Linked DNA regions of Medicago truncatula. The protein of the gene in region 1 binds, or shares a complex with, the protein of each later gene. Links are inferred from orthologs where the notes say so. Each region holds a gene or a part of one and is shown in the gene's direction. Other genes may lie near its edges. The genes, in order: signal recognition particle 43 kDa protein, chloroplastic; signal recognition particle 54 kDa protein, chloroplastic; inner membrane protein PPF-1, chloroplastic.

The links.
Region 2: the proteins of signal recognition particle 43 kDa protein, chloroplastic (region 1) and signal recognition particle 54 kDa protein, chloroplastic are in contact, whole or in part, in an NMR structure (PDB 2HUG), measured with the Arabidopsis thaliana proteins. The link is inferred for Medicago truncatula from reciprocal best matches to the Arabidopsis thaliana genes CAO and CPSRP54. Residues at the interface, in NP_566101.1 of Arabidopsis thaliana: Glu268, Tyr269, Ala270, Glu271, Val272, Lys283, Val289, Trp291, Glu298, Trp299, Val300, Lys301, His304, Val305, Ala306, Val309; in NP_196014.1 of Arabidopsis thaliana: Pro532, Gly533, Thr534, Ala535, Arg536, Arg537, Arg539, Lys540, Ala541, Asp542, Ser543.
Region 3: the proteins of signal recognition particle 43 kDa protein, chloroplastic (region 1) and inner membrane protein PPF-1, chloroplastic are in contact, whole or in part, in a crystal structure (PDB 5E4W), measured with the Arabidopsis thaliana proteins. The link is inferred for Medicago truncatula from reciprocal best matches to the Arabidopsis thaliana genes CAO and ALB3. Residues at the interface, in NP_566101.1 of Arabidopsis thaliana: Asp273, Glu274, Asp312, Tyr313, Gly316, Leu317, Glu318, Tyr319, Ala320, Val321, Ala322, Trp343, Asp345, Met346, Thr350, Glu352, Asn356, Asp358; in NP_180446.1 of Arabidopsis thaliana: Lys454, Arg455, Ser456, Lys457, Arg458, Lys459, Arg460, Thr461.

Annotation. Positions count from the first base shown.
Region 1 is NC_053045.1:36,927,211-36,934,010, forward strand, and holds signal recognition particle 43 kDa protein, chloroplastic, read left to right. Parts: upstream 1-4,771; 5' UTR 4,772-4,932; coding exon 4,933-6,108; 3' UTR 6,109-6,217; downstream 6,218-6,800.
Region 2 is NC_053048.1:49,543,227-49,550,885, reverse strand, and holds the start of signal recognition particle 54 kDa protein, chloroplastic, read left to right. Parts: upstream 1-4,566; 5' UTR 4,567-4,625; coding exon 4,626-4,739; intron 4,740-4,831; coding exon 4,832-4,973; intron 4,974-5,185; coding exon 5,186-5,355; intron 5,356-5,853; coding exon 5,854-6,006; intron 6,007-6,095; coding exon 6,096-6,173; intron 6,174-6,594; coding exon 6,595-6,720; intron 6,721-6,831; coding exon 6,832-6,934; intron 6,935-7,363; coding exon 7,364-7,464; intron 7,465-7,659. Other genes in the region: rho GTPase-activating protein 5, read left to right, coding at 519-639, 743-862, 1,339-1,569, 2,500-3,048.
Region 3 is NC_053045.1:31,730,535-31,737,569, reverse strand, and holds the start of inner membrane protein PPF-1, chloroplastic, read left to right. Parts: upstream 1-3,965; 5' UTR 3,966-4,092; coding exon 4,093-4,407; intron 4,408-5,069; coding exon 5,070-5,180; intron 5,181-5,363; coding exon 5,364-5,438; intron 5,439-5,563; coding exon 5,564-5,624; intron 5,625-5,777; coding exon 5,778-5,851; intron 5,852-5,948; coding exon 5,949-6,053; intron 6,054-7,035. Other genes in the region: heat shock cognate 70 kDa protein 2, read right to left, coding at 378-591. UniProt on the Arabidopsis thaliana protein: Required for the insertion of some light harvesting chlorophyll-binding proteins (LHCP) into the chloroplast thylakoid membrane.

The DNA of each region.
Region 1 (6,800 bases):
TAATTTGATCTCGAACCGAGTCTCGAACATTATTCATCTTAGATGAAGAAGTTATATTTAAATTTTGAGATAAATCCAAATTAACTGGTCTACGATAATCATCGCGATCAAGGGTTATGTCTTCATCCTCAAACCGACTGAAATCAACATCCATATCAGCATTCCTTCTAATAAAGTTGTGTCCATTGTTGCAATAACCACTTGAACCTGTGTCTTAATTGTGAATTTAGGCATGCGTCGTAGAATTGCAAATCTATTCCTCCATACACCAAAAGTTCTTTCTATTGTGCACCTTAAACTTGAGTGATAATAATTGAATACCTCATTATTGAAGACGATGAAATATTGAAACTTGAGTGCACCTTAAACATGTTTGCCCAACTGATGTTTGCAAACCGAAACACCAGAAGGAAGAGGCAGTCCAGTTAACATAAAAAAATCCTAGAAAGTCTAGAAAGCAATTACAGAGACAAACAAAACCAACCAGGCCCTTGGCCAAAAAACTACCCCCAACCGTAGCAGGTTAGCAGGCCAGGAACAGCAGCTGAAGCCGCAACCAAACCAGCCGCAAAACCATAAGAAACATGCTTTGAATGTCACAAAAAACATAAGAAATCATGGCATTACAAATATAGCTTATATATAACTAGTTAAAACTGAAATATAGAGTTTAAGGAGGATAAGTGAACAACAAATCCGAAGCAAAAAAACAACATAAGTGAACCAAAAATACGAGCATAATTATCACACAACATAAGCTTTCATTAAGGGATAGAAACATTACATAAGTTATTAGTACTTCATAAGAGTACTTCATAGTTACTAGCACTTCTTAGATTACTTCCTAATTGAAAGGCAAAACATAACAGTACTTCATAGTTACAGGTACTTCCTAGATTACTTCTTAATTTAAAGACAACGGAACATTACAACATTAAAGACTAAACATAACAGTACTTCATAGTTACTAGTACTTCCTAGATTACTTCTTAATTCATAGTACATCCTAGCTTAGATTGCTTCTTAACTCATAGTACTTCCTAGCTTACTTCCTAGTCACATAGGTTCCAAATTACATAGTACTTCCTATATTCAAGAAACCTCTTATCTATGAGGTGAAAAGAGTAACTAAAGTATGCACAAATCAATGACAGCAAAACACTAGTAAAAACTGAACCAAAATATTGGAGAACAAAGTCAAATAACCAAGCATTAATATCATATATGCATATATCAAGCAAACCTGATATGTCTTGATGAAGTTTCCTACATTAGATGGTTTTTTTATTAATTGTATATCATTCTTAAGGTTTACAATCAGTTGTCAACACTTTAAATTATATGTGCAGCGAAATATTTTGCTTCTTGTACACATGCTTTTATCACTGTTGTATATATGTGCAGTTTATTACCTTTGGATTGGAAGTGCTTATTACTTTTATAACAGAAACATCATAACACAAAAATGCACCAAAAACTAAACCATAATAATAGCAAAACTAAAGAAAAACTTAAAATTTATTTTCAAACTCCATCAATATCATTATCATTTTAAAAGCAAAACAAAGAAAAAAACAAAGAAGCAATCATAATTAAGTTTAAGGAAAACAAATAAAACAATATTTATTCATTCATTCATTTTATCTAACACATCAAATGCATTGTTATCATAACTGAATTAATGGATACAGGAGGATAATTCGAACTTACCTTGAGCTATCCAACACTGCTTCTATTTGGAACTTTGCTTAATTTCCTTTTCTTGCGTGCTTGAGAGAATGAAAAGGGCGAGAGATGAGGCAACATATATAAAAAGTTTTTAGGTAGGTTAACCGATTGATTTTGATCTGTAAAATTAAATATGATGAAAGAAATTAGAGTTTAATGAAGTCATGATATGGGTGAAAAAAACAGCTTTGTCTTCAATGTTGTTTGACAGGAGATTAGGATTCAGATAAGCAAGAAGTTATGATATAGGAGAAAAAACAGCTTTGTAAAATTAAGATAAACAACTTTTGAAAATTCAGATAAACATGAGTTATGATGTAAGGTGAGAAGTTAGTTGAGAATCAAGGGTAAAAAAGAGAAATTGGGGGAAAACAAACCTACGGTTGTGAAAATTGATTTTTAGAAGCTAGGAATTGCAGCTTCATTGAAAATCGATTCTGATGATGCAAACTTGCAGCGACGGCGGAAGGTTGAAGGAGAGCCAAACAACGTCAAAGCGCTTTTGAGGAAGACAGACGTGCGTTTCCCCTTTCCCACTAGGTAACCAAACATGTACTCAATAGACTAGAGTTATCGTGGTCAAAAAAGACTCATACTAACTATTCATATTATAATGATTTTCTACCTCCTTTTTTGTTTTCACTACTTCATGTGGGACTTCAATAAGTATCCATTTTAACACAAAAAGTTCCGCCCCATTCCTTTCAAATACACAGCAAAACATAAAAAAAAAACTTTTGTGGAACACAAAAGTTTGTCCGACGTGTGCAAATAAGTAGTTTTGACTCTTGCACTAAGCGCAAGTTTGATTTCACAATTAGATAAATAAGCCTCATAATATATCATTTCACTCGATGGTATGATTTATTGAACTTGGTGAAAACAAACATGTATATGGAAAAAGACTTGTTTTATTTGTGCACCATAAAATTGATCTATCCATTGAATAATTTATAGTTTGATTTTAGGGTTAATGGTGTTTTACCCTCCTGCAAAATATTTTTTTTTATTTACCCCCTGTAATTTTATTTTTTTTGGAATAACCCCTAATAGGTCATAAAAAAAAAAAATCTGCAAAAAAAAAATATTCGTTTTTTTTATGACCTATTAGGGGGTATTCAATTTTTTATTTACAGGGGATAAATAAAAAATAATTTACATGGAGGAAAACCAGAAATGACCTATATTATAGGGGGTAAAACACTTTTAACCCTTGATTTTAATAAGTTTTTGACCCCTTAAAATATACTACTTATCGATTTTAGTCCATAAAAAATTATTTTTTGTTTTTAGTCATTGAAAATATTTAAAAAATTATTTTTGTTCTTACTATTATTTTATATCCCTTCATATTTGTTCATTTTTAATCCCTTACACATTATTGATCAATTTCGACAAAATTACGTTGACTAAAAATAAAAATCATTTTTATAGGAACTAAAAAAGGTCAAATCTAAGGTGCACAAAGATGATAAGCCTTGCACAATGCATAATAATATTCCCATAATTGGATCAAAAGTATCGCCGTTAAATTAAATTTAATATAATAAGATTTATTAATCCAATCGTAGCGACAAGTCTTTTTTTTTTTTTTTTTAACAGAAAAATGAGACTTATTCATGGTGATAGAGTAATTTACTTGTATATGTTAGACAAAACCACTAAAAAATGTTATATTTGTAGTGATTATAAATATATTTAAACCTTCTATCTTTTGGCAATGAATGATAAAATAATAAAAATTAATAAATGAAACGTAAAATTTGAAGAAAAAATGTTACACAAAAACACAATTTTTTTTTGTTACACACAAAAACACTATATATGTTTATACAAGATTAAATAAGTTGCTCAAAAAATAAAAGATTAAATAAGTTTTTTTTTATAATTTCTAATATTGTTTCTATTGTTGTAGATTGTTCCTTCTGTTGTCGTAGAATGTTCCTATTTTAATGAGATTTAATTTAACTAATTTAAACAATATTACAAAAATGATAAAATAGATTAAATGAAAGATAGGAGTAGAAGAAAAAAACTAGCCTAAAAGAATGTATCTCCTTTATATATTGATATAGATTTTTAATTAAAAATTTAAATAATAGGAAATTACGTTTTGGTCTCAAATTTTTCTTTGATTTTTGGTTCCCAAAAGTTTTGCTTCACCGTTTTTGGTCTTTGCTTTTAAATCAAGTCATGTGTATCATTTAAAATTTTATACTTTTTCTGTAATCATGTTTTGTACATTATAGAATCCTCTCTTGCAAAATTTTTTTATTTTTTTTTAACAAGGATGAATTTTTATGTTTTTGACACTTAAAAATTTATATTTAATTTATGTTTTATTATAAAAAATGGAGACATTATAGTAATACTAAAAATATTCTTATTATCCTTGCCAATATAATTACCCGTTGTGACGTGACATAACCTTTTTGTCCACGTGTATAGTTAACTGCCATATCATAGGGTGAAAATCAAGGGGTTTTTTGAAATTTTGCAAAATTGATGGTGTTTTTTTTTTACGAAAGCTCGCAATTTTTTAGGGTAATTGACTATTTACTCAATTTACAATCTATAGTAGATTTCTTGGACTCCACTCATACCAGATTTTGGTGGTATAGGGAAAACATACAATTTGGGCCCAAACTAATAAGTATAAAACAAAAATTGAATTCCTAAATGTAAAATAATTTGCTTGAAGATGATAGTCTTATTACGTTATAAGAATATACTAAATTTTGTATATTTTACTGTAGAAAATAATCAATACTCTCAATTATACGTAATATAAAATTAAAAAAATTAAATTGATCAATATATCACATTTAAGTTTATCAATTTCATACAAATGCAATCATGATTTTATTTGTTTAGTGAGGAAACAAAACTAGTGTCCAAGGTTGTGGCTAGTTTTGTTTTTTAAGTAGTTTAATGGCTAAAATTCATCTTAAAAAAAGATTAACAAGTAAAATAAAATACAGATCCAACATATAAAAATATATGTTCCTACCAACTAAGTGAGCTATGCTCATGCGAGTGGCTAGTGTTTTTATCCTTTGCCAAAAGAGCAAAATGAAGTGCAAAAAACAAAGGACAAAATAAAATCATCCAATCCAATTGAAAGCACGAAGTGGATATGGTTCCTTATCTAGTCAATACCCCAAATCCCCTTCCACATGTTGATTCAATTCAAACACAACAACCATGGAAGCTTTGTTCCTCACGAAACCAATTTCTCACTTCAAACCCAAACACTCTCTATCTCCCAAACACCCATTTGAATTTCACCACCACCACCACCACCACCAATCTCTCACTCTCCGCCACAAACCCACCAAACTTCCCACCGTCACCACCGCAACTCAAAACCACCAACAACAACAAGAACAAGAACAAACAACACCCAAAACCATCGAAGATGAAGAACCCTACGGCGAAGTCAAAAAAATTATCGGAAGCAAAGCCTTGGAAGATTCCACCGGCATGGAATATCTCATCGAATGGGAAGATGGCCATCAACCTTCCTGGGTCCCCGCCGACTTCATAGCAAAAGACGTCGTCGCTGAATACGAAACTCCCTGGTGGACCGCCGCTAGAAAATCCGACGAAAATGCCCTCAAAACAATCCTTGAAGCCGACGATTACCGCGACGTAAATGCAGTAGACTCTGATGGTAGAACAGCACTTCTATTTGTAGCTGGCCTCGGCTCAGAGCCATGCGTTAGGCTCTTAGCCGAAGCTGGCGCCAATTTAGACCACCGCGATAATAGCGGTGGTCTATCCGCGCTGCACATGGCAGCCGGATATGTAAGACCTGGAGTAGCAAAACTACTCTTGGAACTCGGTGCTGATCCGGAAATTAGCGACGATCGTGGAAGAACAGCGTTGGATTTAGCGAGGGAGTTGTTAAAAGCGACGCCAAAGGGGAACCCAATGCAATTCGGAAGAAGAATGGGGTTAGAAGGTGTGGTTAGGGTTTTAGAAGGTGCAGTGTTTGAATATGCTGAAGTAGAGGAGATTATGGAGAAGAGAGGGAAAGGTGAGAATTTGGAGTATTTGGTGAAATGGAAAGATGGAAGTGCTAATGAGTGGATTAAGGGGAGGTTTGTGGCGGAGGATTTGGTGAGGGATTATGAAGCTGGGCTTGAATATGCGGTGGCGGAAGCGGTGGTTGGTCGGAGAGTTGGTGATGATGGGAAGTATGAGTTTTTGGTGAAATGGGTTGATTTGGATGAACCCACTTGGGAGCCCGAGGAGAATGTTGATTCTGAGCTTGTTAAAGTGTTTGATTTGAGTAATAATCAAGCTCAGCCTGGTAATGATAATGGGGTTTCTACGGTTGATTTGAGTCAGAATAGTTCAAATATTGTTAGTGCATGATAATTGTTTTGTTTCATAAATCAAATCCATTACAAATTTTTGCTTGTTACAATTTACATTATGAGTCATTTTTTAGCAATACTCCCAATTAGTAAGAAAGTTTGAAACAGACGCTTAGACTCTATTTGACGGTCCAACGACTAGTTTATAACGGATAATTTGTGTATAAAGTTCATATGATTAAAGTAGAATTATTTGGTGAGTACAAATTTCTATTGCATATGAGTGATTAGAAATACTCCAACTATTAGTAAGTAATGCTTCCAACCAGTAAGAAGCTTTGAAACAAGTCGCGGCAAACACCACTTATGCTGTATTTGACGATCATAGTTACGTCCGAAATCAAAGAAGAAGTTGCTATCTGTCCCGCCTTATTTGCTTACATGTTAATGTACACGTACGAGGCTGGCAAACCAAGAGGTTCTAATTGAGCAGAATAATGTAAATGACACTCTAGATGCTTTATTTATATGCAAGAGACATAGTTTCGAATGCAATGAGTAACGGCAAGGAATACATAGGGCATCCTTTATATGCTTATCTCCAGCCGATTGTCACAAAAACAATGCATCCCACTAAATATCAATTGAGGCTTAGACAAAGGAGTTATGAAGGATATGCATAGCGAGTAACTCAATAGTTAGAGTTTCATTTCTTGAACACTTTTACTAAAAAGAAGCATTTCATGCTTT
Region 2 (7,659 bases), on another chromosome or scaffold:
ATAATTGATTATTTCTTGCAACTGAAAGGACACATAATAATATTAATAAACAAAGTGATGTCTATTTGACAATTAGTCTTTTGAAGTTGGTACAGTGTAATTTACAACTAGTAAAAATCATTAGTAGTATAGATGCTTTCTTCCATCTCTGCTAATCAGGTCAAATATACCTTTTATTCCTTGTTGATTATGTTGTCAGTTTTGTTTTATTTGAAATTTGGGACCCTTCATCACTGGTGTTGGATTTATTATCATAAAATGATGCATTATTTCTTTGAACTGAAATGACACATTAATAAATAAAGTGATGTTATTTTATACATTTATCAGTATAGCTATCTTTGATACAAATAAACAAAATATCATTTACACACTTGGTTCAAAGCCTCTCTATCTGCTCATCTATTTTTTTGGCAGTATTCTCTCTTATTTACCCACCTATAATACATGTTTGATGAATGCGTCCTGAATTATATCATTGTTTTGACTGTTGGTATATTTTCAATTGTTGTCCACAGCACAAGTGTTTTTGGTGTTTCAACAGAATCTATGCAGCTTTCTTTTGATGCCAGAGGAAATAGTGTACCTACAATACTGCTGTTAATGCAAAGGCATCTGTATGCACAAGGAGGCCTGCAGGTATTTGAACTAATAATACATTCCGGAAACCTTTTGTATGATCTGTTGTTTAGTTTCAATAGACCTGAACCTTGAAATTGAACTATTAAATGCATACACCCAGGCCGAAGGAATCTTCAGAATTAATGCTGAAAATAGTCAAGAGGAGTTTGTGAGGGAACAATTGAACAGAGGAGTGGTACCAAATGGTATTGACGTGCATTGCTTGGCAGGTCTTATAAAGGTATTACTAAAACAAATTCTTTCAAAATCTTTATCCCTCTTTCCTCTTTTAAATGTTAGAGATTTATATGGAACTAGGCTCTTAGGTTGTTGGGATTTGGTCCTATCGTCTATTTGAACGTTGTCTAGATAATTTAAATTGTTAAATATGCTTTTAGCCCTTATATCCAGTTTTCATTCCCCACAAATTACAAAACTGCATACTTTTACGCCCTCTTTAGGGACTAAAAATGTGTGATTTTGTAATTCGTAGAGATTAAATGCTGGCACAAGGACTAAAGTCGAAATTCAAAATAATTATTAATTTATTATATGAATTAAAAATATATTTAACCCTAATTTTAATGTACTAATGTTAATTGTTTTCCTTTTTTAGTTACTGTAGGGAAATATGGTAATTGCATACGAAGTTGTCTAGGTAGCTATATTGAAAGGGATTATTTCATTAATTTTTGATATACTTGAGAAACTCTGTAGGCTTGGTTCAGAGAACTTCCAACTGGTATACTGGACCCTCTTTCGCCAGAGCAGGTGATGCAGTCCCAAACAGAAGAAGAATGTGCTCAGCTTGTGAGGCTTCTTCCTGCAACAGAATCCGCCCTCCTAGATTGGGCAGTAAACCTAATGGCAGACGTTGCTCAGATGGAACATTTGAACAAGATGAACGCACGTAATATTGCAATGGTTTTTGCACCAAACATGACTCACGTAAGCCAAAATCATGTTCCCTTTTATATTCAGTAGAAGGTTTTGCTCTTAGTCCCCTTTTTTTTTGCGATTGAACTTCAAAGACATTTTGTTGTGGTTATATCCTTACTTCTATGTGGTTAGTTTAACTAATCAACTGTCTTCTATTAAATAAATCAAACATTTTTTCTGAGAATTGATTTACATGGCCATATCCTTAAATAGACTTTTGGAGATCTTTTAAAGGGCAGGGGAAGCATACTAATGTAAAATGCAAAGTAGTTTAAGGATTTTAATTTTTGAAATTCCGGTTTTTTAATTTTATTTGAGACTTTGTACTTTAGGCATCTTAGCCAATGTTTGATTATCTTAACCTAGTAGAGAATAATGTTATCTTGTTTTGTCGTTTGGTTATGTTTTATCCATAAAAATACAGCCATCAGTGTGAACATTTGAGTTTGACATACCTTTTCAGCATAATTATAATATTGAGATTTTCTTTTCTTCATAGATCTCAAACCCCAATCAGAGTAGTACTTGTCCCTAGATGTGCAGTCTAGGTTTATTATTCTGCATCTCATGCTCATTGTGGAACAATACACATCCTTTGGATGGTTGAATGTTCCTTTGGAATGGCATGTTCATATCTACAGATTCTTTATGAAGCTACGAAAATTATTATTCTTTTTGTGATTAAATATATGATTATTGTTTTTATTCTGATGAATATTGATAAATTATTCGGATTAGTGCTATGAATTTGGCTGCAGTTTCTGGTATTCTTGAATCTATTCAAGTTTGTTGTGCAAAGTTTTAGTATCAGTCAAAGATCGAGGTTGATTCATGTTTCAATAACAGCATTTCTTTTATGTTTAGCAAAATTATAGTATTGGATTGAGGTTATGATTAATCTTTACGACAATAACATCATTTCTTACACATCTCTTGCAGATGGTAGATCCTTTGACTGCTCTGATGTATGCTGTACAAGTCATGAATTTCCTCAAGACTCTAGTAGCAATGACACTGAAAGAAAGAGAGGAGTCAATCACAAAATCAAATCCCTCTTCAAACCTAAATTCTTTTGATGACGACGGGCATCAGAGCGATTCACCGTTGCTTTTCAAGGATGAAAGTGAATACGGAAATGATTACAGCGACGAGGACACAGTTTTTGTCACCGCCGAGCCTTCACAACAAAGCCCCACACATCTTTTTAAAGATGACTGTGAAACTGAGAGTGGATCCAAAAGTCTGCAAACATCTACCGAAAATTTTATTCCTAGTGGAAATAGGTTGCTGGTTGACAGTTGTCCTTGCGGCGTTGTCTCTCAAATTTGCTCTATGGCAATTGGGGATCAAACAAAAAATTGCAAAAGCCTTCAGTTGAATACTTCTGATACAGACAAGTGTTCAGCAGGATCGGTGGAGAAGAACAGGGGAATTGCTCTTATTGGACGAATAAATTCAAGATCCGAGTTGGCTGAAGCTTGGCGTTGAACATGTAAAGGTGTATGTTTTTTCTATCTTGCTGTCTGGGGGAATGGGATGGATGACAAGAAAAATGGTACTCAAATAATCTTTGCGCATATGCGAGTTGCATGATTGCTGATGTCGTCGTAGTGGAGTCGTTGCATAACGTCCTTCCGAGAAGGGAATGGAATGGATGGGATGACAAGTTGTGTAAAGAGATCTGTGTGCGTTGCCACATTTTGGAAATGTCTAGTACTGATTTGTTGTGTGTTGTTGTGTTATGTTTTCGGGAGAGATTCTTAACCACGTCCTTCATTCTGTTTCATTAACCATGCAGACTTCTAACATTTGTTTTTTGGGTTCCTGTATTATAGAATTTGATGAATTTGGAGAATTGCTACTTTCTGTTACCTTTGTTTCAATGTATTATTGTAAGTAGTGGAAAACTGCTTAGATTAATTTTGAAGTCATGTTTATCCTTGTAGGGCAGCAGTGTTGTCACTCCCTTTAAAAATAGCGATATGAAGTTGGAGAAAACACCATGAGGATGCCAAATCTGGGTAAATTGAAACAAAAATTATACTTAAACTGATACAGACAATTATAATCAAGTAAATACAAAGATGCAACAATTGCATCAGCCACATTTCAAACACCAATATACCCGGAACCAGAATGTCTATATAAACTGCATTATAGTATAAGCAATACTAATATGTATATAGCTGCATCAGCATTCAGCAACACTTAAAATATCAATCTCTCCCAGATGCATATAGTGACGTCCTTTTTGATAATGCTAATATGCAGATTAGCATTAGCAATACTTCAATATCTTCACTACTATTCTTCTGTAAAAAATAAAAAATAAAAACAATAGATTTATATTGATTATATCATATGAACAATTAATGACATGTTATTCTTCAATTTATTTATATACTCCCTTTCAATTTGTGTTTAGTAGTCTGAAATAAAAGAAGTCCGGCAAGCACGACTTAAACTATAAAAATTGGGTCTACATTTGATATGTTGAGTTAGGGCGTAGGTTGTAACCCTCGGTTTTCCAATACTATGTATTTAGTTTTTTAGGTGTTAACCTCCGTTTTTTAGAGAAATTATATGTAATTAGTGTGTGTGAGTTTTACCGCTAAAATCTAGAATCGAAAAATAAATAAGAAAATGCTAACTATGTTTTTAAAACATACATATATTAAGAAATTAAATTTTAAAAATTTATCTTTTTAATATAAATCTTCTTTTTGAATTTCTTTTTTTAACACCTGAATTTGTGTCTTAAGACATACTAAGTCAGCATGAGCTAATCAAATATAATCTTCTCTTTTTTTAATATCATTTTTGTATTCCCATAAACCAATTTTATGTAAAAACAATAAGAAATGACAGTTTGTAAAATAAAAAAATAAAAAAAATTGTTGATATATTTTTTTTGAAGAAATTTTTGTTGATATTAAAAAGTAGTAAATTAGATTAATTAACATGCATCCCTTAATTTACGGCAGTTGATAATAGTCCAGTTTGGCAGTTGTGGATAAAACACAAACACAGATAGCATCAAGTAGTACTGAGTTCAGTTGGTGGAGATGGAAGCAGTACTAGCGTCCCGCCATTTGTCCACGCCACTCTCTCACCACCGAACCACCGCCTCTTCTTCGAGCAAGCTTTGTTCTTCCCTTTCTTATAGGAATTCTTTCGCGGTAAGCATGCCACGTCATCTACTATTCTTCTGATTGGTTACTCTTCCATTCATTGATAGATAAGATACTAATTTGGTTTGGTTTGGTTTCAGAAAGAGATATGGGGTTTTGTTCAGTCGAAAAGCGTAACTATGAGAAGAATGGATATGATTCGTCCAGTTGTGGTCAGAGCTGAAATGTTTGGTCAGTTAACTACTGGTCTTGAATCTGCCTGGAACAAACTCAAAGGAGAAGGTTTTTCCTTCCTTTCTCTTTTTCAATTCAACTATAATTACTTACTTTGCAACTTCCACTCTCACACGGAGACGATACTAATGATCATTAATCAATTTATAAGTAATTGAATTTAATTACATGTATTGGTATTGTTGGACACCCAAATATGTCTTCAATATAATGTGTCGACGATACAATTAGTGGATTTTAATTTCACTTGGTTTGTGCAGAGGTTTTGACCAAAGACAATATTGTGGAGCCTATGCGAGATATTAGGAGAGCTCTTTTAGAAGCTGATGTAAGTCTTCCTGTTGTAAGAAGGTTTGTGCAATCTGTTACTGATCAGGCTGTGGGTGTTGGAGTCACTCGAGGAGTCAAACCCGATCAACAATTGGTTAAGGTCAATTCATTTCAATTGTGTTATGTTTTATGTAATACTCTTAAAATTGCATTTAAATTCAACTGATTTTGTTCTTGTTTTTTTAGGAAAGAGTAAAATTGGATATTCTTAAATTCTACGCTGTGGATGGAGAGTTCCGTTGCTATAGTTTTATGTCTACATATGCACCCATTTCTAGAACATGTGATATACACACACATTTATATGATATAATATATTCAAAACTACTGTAATGGATCACTCCATTTCCTCTTTTGGAAATGGAGAGGTCTCAACTCATTGTGGAAAATGCTGTGTTGTAACAACTAAATACTGTTCACTGTTGTAGAAAGTGGACAAGTCGCCACAAATGACTGTATATTTGTGGTTTTTCTTTATAACATTGTGCAAGTGAGAGAACTTGTTTGCATGAAATAAAATAACATCAACTAGATTTATTTTTTGAATACTGAAGTTCCATACAAGAACAAAATGGGTGTTGATTGTTGGGTTTTGCAGATTGTTCATGATGAACTTGTACAATTGATGGGTGGAGAGGTCTCGGAATTGACTTTTGCCAAAACTGGGCCCACTGTCATTTTATTGGCTGGACTCCAGGGAGTTGGGAAGACAACCGTGTGTGCAAAGTTAGCAAATTATTTCAAGAAACAGGTGTATTTCCAATCTCCTTCATCACCTTCTAATACTTTTTTTGGTTCCTTCTTCGCCTTATTGAAACGTTCATATTCATCTGATCTCAGGGGAAGAGTTGCATGCTAGTTGCCGGGGATGTTTATAGACCTGCTGCTATCGACCAGCTTACTATCTTGGGTAAACAGGTACCAGATTTTTGTTTCATTGAAGTTGTTAACAAGTTTCAATTTCTTTAATGATACATACACCACATTTAAATATAGTCAGTCATGTAATTTTAATTCAATTAAATATAGTTTTTTGTTGCATGAAACCATGAAGAATGTGCATTGTAGTATATTAGAAGTGATGTGTTTCCTGGGCTACTGGAATTATGCTAGCCTTGATAGGTGCTGCTTTAGCATCTTCCACTGATTTTAATGATCTGTCTGGATAAAAATTATGAAGGAAACACGAGAAATTTTGCGAGCATTCTTATTTTTTAACAAATTGGATTCAGGCATCTAACATCAAGATCCAATTAGCATTGTTTGACTCATCTCTTAACCTTTATTCTCTCTATTTGCATCTAGTTAGATGATTATAATTAGTTATAGCTTGTATCAGGTGGACGTCCCTGTATATACAGCAGGTACCGATGTTAAACCATCAGACATTGCTAAACAAGGTTTTGAAGAGGCCAAAAAGAAGAAAATTGATGTGGTTATTGTTGACACTGCTGGTAGGCTGCAGGTAATTCTTTATATGACTGAAAATGTTACAATGAATAATTATTTCATGATTTTTTTAATGTTTGAATAAATTCTTTTATGCTCATCAAGGTTGTTATTTCTTATGAAACAGATAGACAAAGCAATGATGGATGAGTTAAAAGATGTGAAACGGGTACTGAATCCAACAGAAGTCTTGTTAGTTGTGGATGCTATGACAGGGCAAGAAGCAGCAGGTATTCAAAAGTGACGTTTAAAGTATCAACTCTTACATTAAAAAGAAAATATTTTTCTATAAAAATAAATTATTTATATTTATGAACTGATTCTAAATTAATGGCTGGCATATTATTAAACATATATTATTATATTTTACTACCAAATTGGTGTAATCCGAGGGGAAGCAACTTAAGTATGTGGTCAAGGGTTCAATCCCTGACTTATGCGTACAGAAATTCACCTTTTGGGAGAGGCAACTCTTGAATGCGCTCCAGATCCTCGAATGAGTTGGTCTTTACATTTGCTCGCAAGTGATACCTTTAGAAACCAAAAAACCATATTTTAGTTAGGTTTTTGTATAATTATGCTCCTGATGTTGGTTATTATACTCTGACAGCCAAAACCATCCCAAAATCGACTTCACTGTTTTGTTTTTGATTGAACAGCTTTGGTGACTACTTTCAATCTTGAGATTGGAATAACTGGTGCCATCTTGACAAAGCTAGATGGTGATTCAAGAGGTGGAGCAGCTTTGAGTGTCAAAGAGGTTTGCTTGTTTTATCTTAGCTTTCATGAGATGTTTTTATTTTGTATTTTACTTTCAGACAATGCTACCTTACATTGGTTCTCGTCTTAACCAATAGTTACCCGCTATACCAGAATTTTCAACATTACGAGCTCTTGAAAGTTAGTCCCGTTAATTTACAAAATGTGATTTCTAGTTGCATGAGGACCAAAAAAA
Region 3 (7,035 bases), about 5.2 Mb from region 1:
ATGTTCTAACACTTCAACATAATCATATAACCAAACTAATTATATAATCAATGCACAAACTATTATCAACAATTTTACAACTATTAACAATAAATTTCTCGTTTCTAGCTTATATGCAAACACTCTGAAACTAATTATTTATTATAAAAATAAAAAAAAAATAAAAACAAATTACTGGAAATTTCAACCCATGCTCTGATGTTATCATGTTATCAGCAATTTTACAATAATAAGATCAACAATAAAATTCACTTTTCTACTTTTAGTACAATAAGAACGAAATAGAGTGTTAGAAATTTCAACTCATGCATGTTCTAAAAACAGAATAAAAACTTCAGAAAATAAAGGATTAAGAAGTTGATTTTAAGAGTACTTACCGAAAACAGTGTTAGTAGGGTTCATAGCAACCTGATTCTTAGCAGCATCACCGATCAAACGTTCTGTATCAGTGAAAGCAACATAAGAAGGTGTAGTTCTATTACCCTGATCATTTGCTATGATTTCAACACGATCATGTTGCCAAACACCAACACATGAGTAAGTTGTTCCCAAATCTATTCCAATTGCAGGTCCTTCGCCTTTTCCAGCCATAATCTCTCAAGAAATTTCCTTCTGAATGAAAACTAGGGTTTTTGTAGAGTTGAGAATAGAAAAAACTAGGGTTTTGAGTACTAGAGAATGAATTGAAGTTTTGTTTTTTGTTTTCTTTGAAACTGAATTGAATGAGTTGAGGAGAGAAGCTTTGTGTTAATATAGAACAGGATTGATGTCTGGAATGTTCGGTATAGTGTTTTTAGCCGTTGGATGAGTAATTTGGACGGTGACGATTTGATCTAAATTTGAATTGAGGGTGTGGGATTTCTCTAGCATTGTCTAGCACGTTCGAGAAAATTCTGAAAGGACACGCGTTGTAGTTGGTTTGAGTTTTCGTACCGCCTTTATATTTTATTTTTCTTTGATTGGCTTTCCCGCGCCATTGGCTATCAACCGTGCGCTTTATATAACGCTCCAATAGGATTAATTTTATATTATTTTTTGATAGAAAATTTATGTTATCTTTTTCTTCACGATTTTACTCCGGTCCGTTTTAAAATATAAGCAAAATTTATTTTTTAGGTTCATTCATTTAATGATGTATGTGGTTATGATATATGTGGTTCATAATATGACCACATACATCATTAAATAAATGAACATAAAAAATGAATTTTGTTTATATTTTAAAACGGATGAAGTACTAAATTACTAGAGATGACATGGTTATCGGGGCATGTTAGCAATAATTATTTTAACTTTCATGTTTCTACCAATTTTTGACAAATAAATTTATTTAATGTAGTTGAATATATATTATTTAGGTGGCAAAATATAAAAACCATATACTCATACACATTAAAACAAAATAAAATAAATCAGGGTAGGCAGATGTTACCCCATTTTTTTTTTGAAAAATTGGATAGCATCTGTCCATATTTATATCCCCTCATAAATGGTTTTATCGACGCTTCCTATGCATGGACTTTCAACCAAATCGCTCTGGTGGAACTGTTGACGGGCTCGTCTATAACACACTATATATACCTTAAGGAAATTTTTTGGTAATGCTTATAGGTTTGATTAATATTCTTTTACTATTTCAAATATAATCGATCATTGTTGTTCCATAATATTAGTTTTTTATATGTTAACTTTTGTATGACATTTACTTTTTGTATCTTTGTAATATTAATATTAATAGAATTTTTTTCACAATCATAATTTGGAAATCCAAAAAGAAATTTAAATTAATTAAACCGCATTTGATTGAAAAGAATTTTTTTTCATGAGGACTGATAAAGCCAAGTTGCAGTACCAAACTATATATAGATTATTGATCTACAAGAGATTTGGTAAATTCAAACTGTTAAACTATTTTCAATATTTTAAGACTAGAGTTTGTAAAAATTTGCTGATAGATAACATAATAACAAGTGATGAAAACTTCAATATGAGAGAGTTGTGTTAGGTTTAAGTTTTGTTAGTTAATTGTATAATGTATTTTATTGATTGTTATATACTTGTAGTATTTTAGATATACTTTTATCTATCGCTCACCATACATCTCGATATTTTGTAAATAATGGGAGATCTATTCCATCCTTTAATTTTGGATGTCTCGCTCAATTACGCAATATAATAGCACTATATGTTTTGATAGTGTGTGTGATTGTAAACCTAGATCGATGTCTCGCAATACAAATGCTATTATACCATGTCCTTGGACAAAAGAAAAGTTTATGTTTTGCACTTACTAAATCAAAAGATCGTATTCAAAGTTTCACGTAGGAAAAGCCTTAAGTGCAAGAATAATAACGTTGATATAATGAAACAAAAGTTATATTTAACTAGTCATATCAAGTATTTACATTAAAATCGTAATTAACTAGACCTAATCATAAAACAACGAGAGCTTTAGTTAGAGATTGTCATGGTAACTTACAACAAAGAGATGAAACGAGAGAGGATGTTGCGTCAACACTTTATTCTTCAAGTTGTAATGCTCTGCCTTGCTTGTAGACTTGCTCCTCTATTATCCTTGCGTTTCTCTCCTTTTCCAAAGTGATAGAATGACAAACAATGTCAATGTGACTGATTCCTCTTTATTTAGTTTTTTGAAAGTGACATTTTGCTAGACGAATTGTATGCTCGGCAAGAGAATTGTGATTTTTTTACCTTGAAATCTTTAGCAGCTCATTCACATGAGTCACTAATCTGTCAGAATTCACTATGAGAATTGGAATACATCACATTGAATGGTGCCCCGTTTCAAGACTCCAATCTTAGTGACAATCGTCGGGAGTGTGCTTTCTGCTCGCCTAGCGAATTGCATGAACTCGATCTTCTTGTCCTTTTTGCTTGGATCTTTATTCATGTTTCTTTAATACTAAAAAAATGCATTTGAACAAGATCATAGTACATGAATTTCCACTCATGATCTAGCTATCTAATATTCAGACTAAATTGAAGGATTATCATCAGGTTCCTTGCATAACAAGTCAATAACTGTCATAATTTATATAGATAAAATTAAGTAATTTGAAACTTTTCAAGCATCGTGGGGCGTTTTGACCATCTTACTGATACATGTATTGTGAATAGACTATCCTCTTCGACATGCTGGCTTCTCGGCTTGCATTAACTTAGTAAAATTAATCAAAATGTTGGAGTAGATGTTGTTAGATTACACGAGTCAAGTCTTGCATACCATGTTTATTGTCGTCTTGCGTTAATCTTAGCGCACTTGTTTGTTAATATGTTGATTGTTGTTAGGATGATTGCCACTTATATTTAAGATATTTATTTCATTCAATTATATTCTTGAAATAATTAGTCACTTTGTATGTTTTTCTTATGAGTATTTGTTTAATTTTTTGTGTAGGTAATGAGATGGTGTTGCTTAAAGAGAAGATTGACGTCTTCGTGACCTTAGTTGATTTGGACAACGCATAATATAAAGAGCAGAGTGAAGACGGAGCGAAGGAGTTATCAACATTATGCCATCACAATATACTTAAATTTAATTTAGTTACGAATAAGTCAAACACTTATGCGATTGACATTTAAATTTTTATTTAGAGTAGCTCAATACAATGTGACAAACTATCTGGAGTTGTTTTCGTTGAGATTTTATTATTTTCCATAATTTGATTTATGTTATGCCACAAGTTTACAATGTAATGTTTTCTATGTATGTGAATATTTTTAAAATAAAAAATTATCTAAAATTGAAGTCATCGTTCTTTAATTGAACACCGTTTCCTTCCATTTTTTTTTTTTTTGACTAAAAATTGCAAGAGCAAATAACATTTTTTTTGACTAAAAATTGCAAGAAGCAAATAACCACCGGTAATAATATGTAATGACGTGTCACACAGTCGCTGGCTGAAAATCTTCCACTACCCATATCGTGCAGTTGTCTCTACCTCGCAAAACAAAATGCATTTCATTCGGATAATAGCAAAAAAATATCCTCTCATCTCTTTTCTCTATTCTGTGACGAGAAGCTGAAGCCTTCGCCCTTCAAGCCTCTCTCTATCACCCTTCTCATCATCCATGGCGAAGACACTGATTTCATCTCCATCATTCATCGGAACTCCACTTCCTTCACTTCACCGCAACTTCTCCCCTAACCGCACCAGACTATACACCAAAGTTCACTTCAGTTTCCACCAAATTCCTCCAATTCAATCCTTAACTCATTCTATTGATGTTGCCGGTGTCTTCGCCAGAGCTGAAGGCCTTCTTTATACGCTTGCTGATGCCGCCGTTACGGCCGATGCGGTTACTTCCACTTCCACGGATGTTACTGTGCAGAAGAACGGAGGTTGGTTTGGTTTCATCTCCGATGGTATGGAGTTTGTTCTTAAGGTAATCTTCACAACTTCTGCTTTTTAATTTTATCAATTATCTTTCTTAATATTCGTAATTTAACTAATTTTTGTTTATAATTCATTCCAAAGAAAATATATGAAATAAAATCAAACCGAACTTATGAAAATAAGTTGAAAACAGTTTGGGAGATGTAATAATTTGTTTCTATGAGATCTTCCAAACAGTCTCATAAGTGATTATACCAATAAATAAGCTCAAATAAGTCAATCCAAACATGACCTTACTATAAAAGGATTTGTTGCTCTTTGATTCATGAAACTTGTATTATTGAGGTTGTTGAGTTTTTTTAGAAGATTGAACCGTTTTTTCTTATCCTGAAATGATATGTTGCAGGGAAAGTGTTCAGTGTTACTAACTTACTGTTTACTTTTTCTGTTAATTTGATTGAACAAGTTAAACTTGTGTATTTTTTTTAGGTTATATGGAAATGTATACGTATAAATGGAAAGAGTAATGCTATTTGTTTCGAATGGTTTTCTAGTTTCAATGGACTTGGCCCTTACCCTTTTGCTTTAGAGTTATCATGTAAAATAGCCATAAAAAGGAAAAAAAATCTACCTACAAATGTTCCACGTTCCTGTAATAAAATTGGAGGATTGCATTTTATAACAGGAAATGTTTTGCTTGTTGTTACTCAGATATTAAAGGATGGTTTGTCTGCCGTGCATGTGCCTTATTCGTATGGATTTGCTATCATATTGCTCACTCTTATTGTTAAGGCGGCTACGCTTCCTTTGACAAAGCAACAGGTTAGTACAAATTACAACAATTTCTATAGGCAAATTTACTGAAACCATGAAATTATGATAACCTCGTTTGAAACATTACAAACAAACCATAAATGGATTGCCAGTTGGAAAAAAAAAAAACCATAAATGGATTTTTCTTTCAGTTATATGAAATGAAGTTCTGACTTTATTTAATACATGTAGGTTGAATCAACACTAGCTATGCAAAACCTTCAACCTAAAATTAAGGCCATTCAACAAAGATATGCTGGTAATCAGGTGAGGGGTGTTGCTGTTTGTTACTTATTAAGCATCCAATTTAATCTTAAGTAAATATTGATTTTGTACCTTAAAATGATAGCATGGTTGTTTCTAACTACTTATTTCATTGCCCTCATTTCAAGGAAAGAATACAACTTGAGACTTCAAGGCTATATACCCAAGCTGGGGTTAACCCATTGGCAGGTACACTTATATCTTACTATTGCCTTTATCATTTTCTTCTCAGCTCTGATTCTGTATAATAATGCTTTGACATGTGATAATATGATGTCAAAATATTTGCAATATCATAACTGGGCTGTACTTAATAGAAGGAAATTTTATCATTTTTTATAGGTTGTTTACCGACTTTGGCTACTATTCCCGTCTGGATTGGTCTATACCAAGCTTTATCTAATGTGGCAAATGAGGTAATTAATGGTATATAAACTATTATAATTTTAGATTTTGATAGACGAATTACAACTACATGATTTTTGCTAATTATTGAAAACTTTTAATTTGAAGGGACTGTTAACAGAAGGTTTCTTATGGATCCCTTCTCTCGGTGGTCCCACTAGCATTGCTGCTAGACAAAGTGGATCTGGAATTTCTTGGCTTTTTCCATTTGTGGTAAGTTATCCTTTGCTCATAAGCGAAATAATTTTTTTGCATTTGGCTATTTCTTTTTCCTTGTACTTGTGAGTCTGTGACACAAACACTATGATTTTCAGACATCACACTATTTACTCTTAACAATAATTTTTTTTGGAGCTTATTCCCAGTCATGGTTCCTGAAACAATAAAATTCTAAATTGTATGTCGTACAATACAATTGCTGATAAAAATTCTTTTCATAGTTAGTAATGTAGCAATTTGTGTAGGCTCTGCTTGTGAAAATATATGCAAGGTCCCTTTTTATAAGTTATGCATATGCACTATTGTCCCAGTTAGTCTTAGATTTCAGTAAATACGAGACATGGTTTATGCAGCATGGGTGCCAGTTGGATTAAATAGTATATAACATGCAGCACATTTAGTGATGCAGATTCTTTTAGTAGTTTGGAATTTAGCATTTTGGGGGTGGGGGTATGCCGGTATGGTCTGTTCACCACAGAATGTGCCAATAGGGACTAAATGAGCATTTAGGTCGACTGCTTAATTAAACATTAATTCACAAGCACTTGTCGTATTAAAATTTATATACAAATTGTTTCTACCAAGGGAGAGCCTTGATGCAACGCTAAAGTTGTTGTCACGTGACTGAAAGGTCACGGGTTCAAGTTCTAGAAAGAGCCTCTTGTGTAAAAAACAGGGGAAGACTGCGTAGGATACACCAAAATGGCGAGACCCCTTCTTGGACCTGTGTATGTGGGAGCTTTAGTGCACCGAGCTGCCCTTTTTTTTTTTTCAAATTGTTTCTACCATCAAAGAGGAAATGAGAGTTAATTGCACTACAGTTCTTTTTGAGTTGTTTCATTACAAAATGAAGTTCTCTAATAGCCTATCCATAAAAGCTTATGAAAATAAGTTGAATGCAAATGAACATATCATCAAGTATTTTAGTAAGTTTTTCCAAGCACTTGCACAAATGTTTATATCATAAATAAGCCTA